Linked DNA regions of Coturnix japonica. The protein of the gene in region 1 interacts with the protein of each later gene in a pairwise test. Links are inferred from orthologs where the notes say so. Each region holds a gene or a part of one and is shown on either strand. Other genes may lie near its edges.

Evidence for each region. The genes of interacting proteins can lie anywhere in the genome.
Region 2: the proteins of SNW1 (region 1) and BICD2 interact in binary tests that used the Homo sapiens proteins (3 or more experiments, as listed by UniProt). The link is inferred for Coturnix japonica from reciprocal best matches to the Homo sapiens genes SNW1 and BICD2.

Annotation. Positions count from the first base shown.
Region 1 is NC_029520.1:35,702,614-35,708,029, forward strand, and holds the start of SNW1 (SNW domain-containing protein 1), read right to left. Parts: upstream 3,221-5,416; 5' UTR 3,116-3,220; coding exon 3,102-3,115; intron 2,537-3,101; coding exon 2,383-2,536; intron 385-2,382; coding exon 223-384; intron 1-222. UniProt on the Homo sapiens protein: Involved in pre-mRNA splicing as component of the spliceosome. As a component of the minor spliceosome, involved in the splicing of U12-type introns in pre-mRNAs.
Region 2 is NC_029527.1:4,892,058-4,897,701, forward strand, and holds the start of BICD2 (protein bicaudal D homolog 2), read right to left. Parts: upstream 3,281-5,644; coding exon 3,041-3,280; intron 1-3,040. UniProt on the Homo sapiens protein: Acts as an adapter protein linking the dynein motor complex to various cargos and converts dynein from a non-processive to a highly processive motor in the presence of dynactin.

The DNA.
Region 1 (5,416 bases):
CACACGCGTGGCAACAAAATTCTTGCTCATCCTATGCTACTAGTCTAAATGCTCACATCTGTCTGACATCATTTCAGCTCTTAACTTTAAGGAAAACAGGAACATATTTCAAGGAGGTAATTCATTTAATTTATCTAATGCCAAAGCAATGACCACAAGTACATGCAACGTGTGACTTCTCCAGGTGTGTGTCACAATCCACGTCTTAGAAAAAAGCATTACCTTGTCCTTTGATTGTCCTTGTCGAGCAATTGCGTCGTATTTTATTTTTCCTTCTGCATCCACTTGAACAGCCAAAGCATTGGACATTTTCTTCTTTCGGCCCATATCCAATGGATATTGGGCCACGTGAATTTCTGGAAAAGCACCTCCATCTCCAAAATCCTACACACACACAAAAAGGTAGAGAATGACTGAAAGACAAAAACATGGTATAACTACAGAATTGTATAAAGGCTTAGGTTGGGAGGGACCCTACGGATCATCAAGTTCCAACCCACAGGCAGGGCCCACCACCCTCCAGATCAGGTACTAGACCAGGTCATAACATTTGCATGGGTGGAAATGGAACAAAAGAGTGGACTGATTTTAACATGAAACACTGCTAGAAATGCTCTAGCAGCATTACTGTTCTGGCTTGTAAGAGAACAGCTGACTACAGCTTACACTTGTGAAATGGAAATACAAAGACATCCTGCAGGAAACTCTCTACAATTATTCCTTTCACAGAGAAACTTCTTTTATCACTGGCTGGATGTGCAGGCACTACAGCATGACAGGCGGTAAATGATCAAGTATTTAATTCACATGCAGGTTATTAATTACAACTTCTAGAATTTATCTGCAGCAATAAAGCAACCGCTGAAATACACAAAAATTAACCACTAGAGATTTTCATCACAAAACTGCTATTCTTGTAATTTTAGTTATCCTACCATAATTAGGTGAAGAAATTTATAAAGCTTTCCAGCCCTCTCAAGCCTGCAGCTCACAGCTTTACAATGGTACAAATGCCAAGATATCGATTTCCTTATTTTGACACAACTTGAAAACAGGACAAGCAACCAATAGCTTCGTGTTCCTAACAGTTTACTTTTCCTCTTGTTCAATTTCTTGCTTTAAAACTATTTAAGGAGCAGAATAAATGGAAGACCTCTTTAAGCAGACCATTGTGACTCAGTACTGAAGATGCAAACAGAACTGGCACACAATCGCTAAACCAATTTCAGGCTATGGTTTCAAAACCCCAGGGGAAGCATTTTCTCTAATCAACACTACTGTGCCCTTTCACCATGCTGCAATGGCTTTGATTTTGCCCAACAGCAAACCAGGTGACTTGGGTAGCTTGATCCCCACGTATTCACCATGAGACCAAACAGTTAACACCACTACAACAGACAGCATGGGCTGAGACTGGAATCATCGGGCAGAACACTTCTTTCCAGAGCAGCACATATTCATGCTTGCCTCAAGTGCACACTGAAATTCAACTTCGGTTGTTTAAAGTCTTCCATTGGATGCCCCGCATCCAGTTCAACAGTTAGATACAGAATCAGTGCTGAAATATAATGCAGAACTAAATTCAGCCATCTCTCAGGTTTTTCTACATGACCAAATCTATTAAGAATAGATGCTGTTTTTCAATTATGAGTAGATAAGCAGATGAAGCCTATACTTGCAAGCAATTACTATTCTTTGGTTTTGTCTATGAGGCAAAAAGGGAATCTTCTAGAAGTCTTTGAGATGTGCTGCATTTTCTGGCCCAGTGATACTGGAAACCAATAGAACTAAGTTAAGTCAGGTTCCCCCCCCCCCACAGCATTTAGAACAAGCACTCGAACAGTAGCTTTAGTAATGAGCACTGTAAGGAGAAAGCTGAACTATAAATTTTAATACCACATCCTTTATTAAATGCTGAAATTCCATAAAAGTATTTTACTTTAGAGAACCACTGGAACTACTGCTTTAAGTCACCTTATCTAGCACTCCCACATCTAACAAGTTTCTATCACTTAACACCCCCCAAGAGCAGTTACCTTTTGCTACCTTAAGAACACAGTACACATGAGAAGTATTCTCTTCTCTGCTATACACCCATCTACTTATTTCACCTCTAATCCAGATATGTATTTAACAAATAATGACAGAGGGTTGGTATGGGTGTCATTCTCAGAGGGTCACTACATTCAGACCTTAAACAGAAAGGACCACAGTCGTATTCCCACGTTACCATGACAAGAAACTTGGAAATTCTGCATGTAAACCTGCACGATTCTCTGTGATTATCTCAAGAAACTTCATAGTTTGACTCTACTCTGGAAAGACACACTTTACCCACTAACACAGATGTACTAATATAATATGGTGAGTTTAAACACCTACCTCTAACGTCCGCGGTATCCATCCTTTCCGGTAGCCGTATGGGGGAGGCTCCCTTCGTGATGAGACCAGAGCAGTCTGCCTGGATCTCTGCGCCCTCGCTCTTTCTTCTAGCTCGAGCTGGTCTTGGGACAACTGGGTTGGAGCTGGCAAAAAACTGCACGTCCCCAGACAGGCACCAAAAAGACACATAAAAAAACAGCTCTGAAAAAGGCGAATTCCCACAGACGAACCCGTGAGTGGTTCTCCCCAGCCGGACACCCCCGGTCTAAAGCCACACACTCCAACTCCCCCGTCCGGACCCGGCGCACTGCACACCGCCACCCCCGCGCTGCCGGGCGGCGTTCACGTCCCCGCTCGGTACAGCCGGGCAGGCCGCGGAGCCGCGCTCTCGGAGCAGCAGCTCGTAACAAAGACATCCCTCACGGGAAGGAAAAGCCGGAAAGCGACCAGGTATCCCACCAGCACCAATCCTTCCCCTCACAAAACCCGCGTTAGCTCCCCGCAGCACGCAGCGGTGCGGAGGCCCCATCGCGCTCTAGGCCGCACAAAGCGAGCAGCGCAGGCAGCTCCCGCAGGCCCGGCCCTCAGCACACCGCACCCCGGGCTGCTCAGCGACCGTGGGCCCGCACCCAGGAGGGGCCGCTCGCCGGGCCGAGCACCCAGCGCTTCCCCAGACACCAACAGCGACGAGGACGGAGCGGGGGGACAGAGGGACGCACCTGGTGAGCGCCATCTTGCCGCTGCCGACTCGGAGTTAGGCCGCGGGATGGGGGGGGGCACAGGGAAGGACGAGCGCCTCGATGCGCGTGCGCCGCAGCGGGCAGCTGGGAGTTGTAGGCACAGCGTCACAGCGATGGGCGATGGCCTTGGTGACTGAGATGTCACCTTGTGTCCAGGGCAACTGGGAGCTCTGCAGACAAAGCCGAGGATACGAGACTTTGACATGTATCGCTTATCAATAATTGTCACGAGCAGAGCTCATCTGCCATCTCTCCTACCGTTTCCTGTCAGTCATTTCTCAGCAGACTTGGTGTTGTGTGACAGCGCTGCTCCCGGTCAGGAGCCCTGTTCCTATCTGGAGCTGAGGAATGACTTGTTCTCCCTCCTGCAGTTCCTACTTCTTCCTGTGCTGTGATGTATCATCTACTGCTGTGTGGGAAACACACAGCTTTGGGGTCTGTTTTGCAACACAACCTGTAAGGCAAACACAAACTCAAACAGACCATGATCTGGAAGACTGTGTCCAGTTCTGGGCTCCCCAGTACAAAAAAGACAGGGATCTCTCGGAAAGAGTCCAGCGGAGGGCCACAAAGATGGTGAAGGGCCTGGAGCATCTCCCCTATGAGGAGAGACTAAGCAAACTGTTTAGCCTTGAGAAAAGAAGACTGAGAGGGGACTTGATCCAGGTCTATAAATACCTGAGGTGTGGGAGGCAAAGCGGCGAGGCCAGACTCTTTTCAGCAGTGTGTGGAAACAGGACAAGGAGAAACGGCCAGAAACTGGAGCATAGGAAGTTACACATGGATGGGCACAAGAACTTTATAGTGCAGGTGACGGAGCACTGGAACAGGCTGCCCAGGGAGGTGGTGGAGTCTCCTTCTCTGGAGATATTCAAGACCCGCCTGAATACCTACTTGTGTGACGTGGTGTAGGGAACCTGCTTTGGCAGGGGGGTTGGACTTGATGATCTCTGGAGGTTTCTTCCAGCCCCTACGATTCTGTGATGCTGTGATTCTGTGAAGTGGGAGCGGAGGTTAAGTACAGAATGTGTTGTCCTGGAAAACTCCCAGCTCTGTGAGCTGATCATTTCCATGTATCTTCATGTATCCCCTAGTTTGTTCTGGGCTTTGTGTGCACCAGACTTAGTAATAATTCAGATATACCAGCTCTGGTGAATTCTTCTTTGATAAGAAGAAACAATAAGCAAGGGATGGATCTGAGATCCTTAAACCCATTTTTTTTCCCAAGGATATGTATCCCGATATGTATCCTTAGGAAAGAAAGATTCATTCATTTTTCTTTTACCATTATCTTTTTTTGCTTAGCATTCCTGGGCAGGAATGCTATCAGATCTCCACGTGCATCAATTTCTACAAGTTGACCAAAATAATCTGGATGGTGAGTAAAGTGTTGAGGCACTTCATCCTTGGCTTTGCTGTCAGTGGGGACATTTTTAGTTTCATGTGAATACCACAGCTGGTTTTGAGAACACTTCCTTTAATGTGTATTTCTGGTGCATTCCAAGGAGTCTTTTGGGGTAGATTTAGGCTATTAAATCCTCTCCATCTTTTTTTTTTTTTTTTTTAATCTACTTCAGCACTTTCCACATTTGCAAATGCAGAATTAAATGGCTCATGAAATATCTTGTAACAAATGAAGATGACAATACAAAGTAATGGAATAAGCTATTGCTAATATCGGATACCTGTATGCCTAATAGTCACTGCGCACTGTGGAATAAAAATGATCAAAATAAATGACACTTCTTAACTCAAGGGATAAATTATGCCACAGGTAAGATGCTAAACGGTGAAAAAGAAAGAGATTTATCTAGATGGAAAAGTTCAGCAACATCAGCAACCCCTGCTCTTCACATTCTGTTTGGGGTTACAGGCAGTATTCAGAAGGAATAATTATAGCTGGGGGAAAAAGCTCAGAAGGTCTATTTAGATTAGTGCTTTTGGAGGAATCTTCAAGCCGTGTCTGTATTATCTGGAATGACTTAAAGGGAGACTGGTTTAATTTCTAATACTCATTATAATTTTTAGAAGAGTACAATTTTGCAGATAGGCAAAAATCATCTCAGATGCTTCTATAACACCTTTCTGTTACTATGGCGCTTTGTAAACCTTGTTATGCATTCCATTCACAGCTAATAAACATCCTCTTTGGACAGAGGACGTGGTGGCCTGCTGAGACTTTCTAGCATCTTTAGAAAGCAAAGTCAAGGGAATTTTTTTGCCTGCAGAAATTATAAGAGAGGGGTATGGAAGTGGAGTGCAATCGTCTAAACTGATCTGGGCAACGGTGCTGA
Region 2 (5,644 bases), on another chromosome or scaffold:
ATTTTGATGAAGCCCAAGTAGTATGAGAGAAAAAAGTAGGACCCCAGTTGTACTGATGCTCTTTGCCTTTGTAAGCTTTCCACCCATCCCCTTAAAACATACACAACAAAGAAGGCCTTGGCATTAACTGTGATGTACTGATGCATGCTTTTAGAATCTCAGGACAGCCACAGTCTACTTACACACTTTTACGTTATTACAGAAATAAATAATGCATAACATAATCATGCCCCTGCATTCTGAGGGACTTAAATACAAGTCTACCATCACCAATACTGCATAACCATCTAATTTGAAAGTAGCTTTGGACAGCAGCCAGTTTCATATCTAACCAAACAGTGAGCTGTAAATCTAACTGGCATCTCAAAAGCAACTCAAAAGTACTAAGCAAAGCAGACAAGCTCTTTTTCAAGCTAACCTTCCAAGCCACGTTGTCCTACAAATCATCAGGATGCCAATAAGTGAATTCCCGTACAGCAACCTTGGCTCAGGCAGGTTGGCAGCCCTATATTAGCATCCCCACAGACAAAGGCTCACAGGATGATTTCTTAGCTGAACACAGCCTATAGAAACAACTCTTTATCACTTCACCTCCTAGAGGAGACAAATAACAACCGAAAGCATCAACATACAACATGATGTAGTATTTCACTGAGAGTCAGGAGCTAATTCATGTAACTTGAGATAAAAAAACAATGCATTTCTAAACCATAACGTTCAGTAAGGTTTGAAATCAATTTCATTTCACAAAAATAAGCATGGAAGTGAAATAACCAGCAGGTTCACCTGGGGAGACAATTTCTACTTCAGTCTATGTGTCTCAAATGGAAACAACAGAAAAAATGTGGCACAATTACCCTGAGAGGTACAAGATGCAAACCAGCATGTGAACAGATAGGACAAATCTGGGGTAAAGTCTACAGTTCTCCAAGGACTCCAACTGAAGGGTTTGATGAGATGGAGCCTCAGTGCAATGGCAGGACAGCCCCCACTACCACCAGGATGATCCGAATGGCAGATATTGTGTACACACAGGTGGGTTTGCAAAACAGGGTCCAGCTCTAAGGATGGCACGTACACTCATCAAAGGGATAAAACTGTGGGGGTTACAGGTAGGAAATTCTGCCACAATCACAGATAAAGGAGCACAAGGGAGAAGCTGGCCGGAAAGTTGTGCAAGATCTGACAGTTGCAGCAGAAAAGCCTGTACTTTCAACAGCCTCTATTAGGAAGTTCCCACGCTCAGAGCCCATTTACCTATGGAATGAACAGGGCCGCGATATGGGATGCTTCATAACATTAAACAAATTAAAGTATATCCAAATTTACAACACCAAGCAAGACAGGAAATTTTGCTGTGTGTCTGTGCATGACATGGCTTTATGCTATTGATGTCTCTAGATGTAGCGGAGAGGAACAGAACAAGATTTAAGGAGACTGCAATGTCTGTATTCTAAAAAGGCTGCATGAAGTCCAAGTTGAGAAGCAAGAAAAAGAAAGCACCCCTCTTCCTGGCAGCAATTCCCCTGCCTTCCCCAGGAACAATACAATGTAACCTAAGGTGCAACCTCTTCAAACTGCACCTTGCTATATGGCAAGTCCTGTATGCAAAATGCCTCCCAACGTGCTTGGGAAAAGCAAGAAGTTATATAAACAGCAAAGATAAACTCCTCCTGTGACAACATGCTTCATGCATCTGCCGAAGGTTTACAAGTTCTAATGAAGACCAGATTCCTCCCCAGCATCACAGGGAAGCAAGAGGAGCAATGTTCTGCCTTGTGTTGTACAACTATAGAGACCTCAGATTGTTCCCAGAATTGTTTGCCTCCCAGGTTTTGACTTAATTACAACAGGACATGCACACACAAAGCAAAGAATGAATCATTGCTCATCCTGCTATTTTCTTTTTTCTTTTTGGTTTTTGCTTTTTTTTTGTTGTTCCCAAATCTCTTCGAGCCTCTGAGATGTTGTTGTAGCTCTAAAAGAACAAGCAGCAGCTGCCTTCCAGACATTTCCCACCTGAAGGACTAAATTCATGAGGCCCACAGCCAACCAAGGTGTCACCTGTGACTGAGCCACCCTGGCACTGCCCCACATTCAGGCTCCAGCTCAGTGAGGTCACACCAGTCTCCTCACCTTCCCCATGTTGTCTCATCCCACCTACCAATGGGTTTGCTGATTTTCTTCTCCCTTTGGCAAAACCCTATTGCTCCTTCTTCCCAGGACTGTTTCTGACTCCCTTATCTTTTGTGTAGCAACTCTACTTCCAAGGGCTCACGATGCCAACACATTTGTTCCTTCCAGTATTTGCACTGCCAGAATCAAGTCAGTTCCAAGTAGCATTAACCAGAGAACCACAGAACCATTTGAGTTGGAAGGGACCTCTAAGGGTCATCTAATCCAACTCCCTTGCAATGAACAGGGAGGTTCAGCCTGCATTTGGTTAGTAAGAGCACAAACATTTAATTCAAAACAATTCACCTCCTCTGCTTATGCTTATTTTGCTTTTATGATGTTAAACAGAGTCCATCCGACACACAGGATGCAGGAAGTGAGGGCGTTCACAGGTTCAGCTGAATTGATACAAATCCATTTGCGTTTACTTTCCCTTTGACACAGTGTATTTTGATGTTACTTCAAATCCACATCCAACCCACACCAGCAACACCAAAGACCGACAGCACATGGATCACATTGACCAAATACAACCACACACGTCTACATTTTAAGCAGCATCAGATCCTTTGCAAACAAGGCAAGGCCTACATCAGCTCAAAAGCAGCGCATGGTTTGCCTGCATAGAAACAGTCACCAAAATAACCGGAGCAGGAGCAGCCAAGTGAGTCCCACGGGATGCGCTATATGGGCAATGAGCGGCCCCCCATAGGGAGCACTAAGAGGGTGCCTGCAGGTCCGGACAAGGCACAACCACCCCCAGCATGGGCTGTGCTTGAGGCAGCGATGATTTTGTATAAGAAAAACGCGTGTTGTCAGGGCCCCAAGCTCAGGGCTCAGGCCCGTCCCTCCCCGCCGTCCTCACCTCCTTCAGCTGCTCCATCTCGGCACGGATGGTCTCATACTCCAGCTCCAGCTCCTCGTATTGCTGCTTCAGCTGCTGCTTCTCCTCCAGCACAGCCAACCCATATTCCGCCGCTTGAATCTTCTCTCGTGTGGTCTCACCCAGCTCTTGGAAAAGCCTCTTGATCTCATTCCTCAGCCACTCGGGTTCCGACTCCATCACCAGCCGGGCGTACTCCTCCTCCTCCATACCCAGCGACATGTCGGCGGTGCTGGGGGGCACCGCAGCCGGAAAGGCGAATCGAGCGGCCCCCTTACCCCGCTCACTAACAACGCCTCGGCCCGATCCCGGCCACGGTCCCCCCTGTGGCGGCCATCCACGGTGTGAGCGCTGCGGAGCCGCCCCTCGCACGACGCCGCCACCGCCGCCAAACTCGCCTTGTGAGCGCCGACCGCAGTGAAATCATTCAAAGGGAACGGCCGGCCCGGCGTCGCGATGCACGCTGGGAGATGTAGTCCGGATGGTGATGCCACCCCGCTGGGAGAGCAGCTCGCAGGACTACGTTACCCATAATGCACCGCCCGCGGGGTGGGGAGGTGGGGTAGAGAGGAGCGGAGCAGAGCGGCCTCTGCAGGGCTCGGAGCGGCCGCGCCCTGTTGGGCTGCGACTGGAGCGGGGGGCTGAAGGCCTCACATCACCCCTCTACATTCATAATAAACACTGGGTTTTTCTTCTGCCTCGTATATTCTCAGCCCTCATTGTGCTCAGGCTTTACGCTGTAAATCAGGACTCAAATCAAATCAGGACTCAAATCAGGACCCAGCTTTTTGTCCTTCCTCAGAAGCTGTAATTTGCTTGTAACAACTCATTCTTATCCAACCTAAACCTCTCCTGGTGCAACCTGAGGCTATTTCCCCTCATCACCAGTGAAAAGTAAAGCCAAGGTTTGGCAGTAGGTTTCACTCTTTGCTATTGTTCTAAACTGCTCAAGACATCCAGCATTAACTGTAAATATCACTGTTACAAAATTATTTCTGACCAGCCCAGGAAGAAGAGCAGGTTGTCAAAGCGGAGGCTCTTGTGATCATTCAAGGTAATGATGTAGCGTAACAAAAATCTGTAATGACTGAATGAGCACAGCCCGGCCTGTGCCCATGGCCTCCTCTGGGTGCAGCCAGAGGTCACAGCCTATTTCATTATCAGTTATATTCATTATCAGTTCACTGTCTCTAAATTCCATCAGTGCAAAGATGCCGATGAAGGAAGGCTGTGCAGGAGGTAGGGAAGAATGGGAATAACATCTCAGGTTGTTTCCTGAGGTGGGTGATGATCACAGACAATCATACAAGGCTGGTCACAATTCAGCCTGTCCACAAGCTTTGTGTATGGACTAGTAACAAATTACCATTATCTCCTAATTCTTCCCATTTTCTATTTATGAAAAAAAATGACTTTAGCAAAAAAAGAAAATACTCTGGGACATGGATCAATGTTCATATGTGGTGCAGTGATGACCTTTCTTAACCAAAAGACATTTCAAAACAAGAACCTGAAAGTGACTGAAAGCTTCAGATATTCACTGGCAGCTGATAAGCTGAGAAGCAGGTGAACTGCTGGCAGAAAGCTGCCGGAGGGAATGTGTGCATGCAGGGAACAAGCAGAGGAATTACAGATGCTTATCGCAAAATGGAATTCTTAGGATGTCTCAGCATAAGGAGAAAAAAATGCGACTTAGCTTTCAAGATTTGATAGAATTCCTTGGCTGGGTGTGGGGAGCACAGCACACACACACTGCCTGCTGCCTGACCCAAGTGTTGAGATGCCCAGGCCTATCAGTGCTGGACTTTTGCTGGGAGCTGAAGAGGAGGGATGGATGGAGGGTCCAAGTAACGACATGTCTGGCACACCATCTGCCAGGTGTAGCAGGGACCAGATGCTCAGTTTACTTCCTTATTCTGCCATGATGGAACAAGCCTGAGAGGAAGGGAGATTTTTTTCCCCAAAATGTTTCACTTTTTCTTCTTTTACTGCAAGCCTGAACCACCCCTCACAACCACCTACAGCTTCTCATGACCATGAGGCGTAGCTCTTACTTTACCAGGCCTGTAGGTCTGTGCCTACATCAGCCCAAACAGCTACTCTATCTCTTCCCAACTCACCTGTGGGAAAGGACCATGTTTGTGTTTCACCTCACTGCCTGTCTGGAGGAAAACCTTCCCTTTTAAACCACGTCTGTATGCCTGATTGACAAGCAGTAAATGAGCTGCCATTGCTCCGTCTCTCTTGATGAAGTAAACACACCTGTGTCTGGATTTAAGCCAAACCCATTTTCTTTAAGATAAATCATCCAGGCACATGTTTAAACTGAAGCAAAACAAGAATCCACTCAGTCATGTACTGGTATAACTACAACAGAAAAAAACCAACACTGCAGTGCTATTTCTCTTTTCCCCTCCATCTTCATGTTGTAACTTGAGAGGGTCTCAGGTTCTGGTGGTCGCTCATGAAGGAGAAATACTGTATGCAGTATGGACTTGGCTGGCATAGATTTGCTTTTCTATGCATAAGAAATATTTCTACTTCTACCAGCATGAGAAAAGACATTTGTGTATATCTCATAAGCTC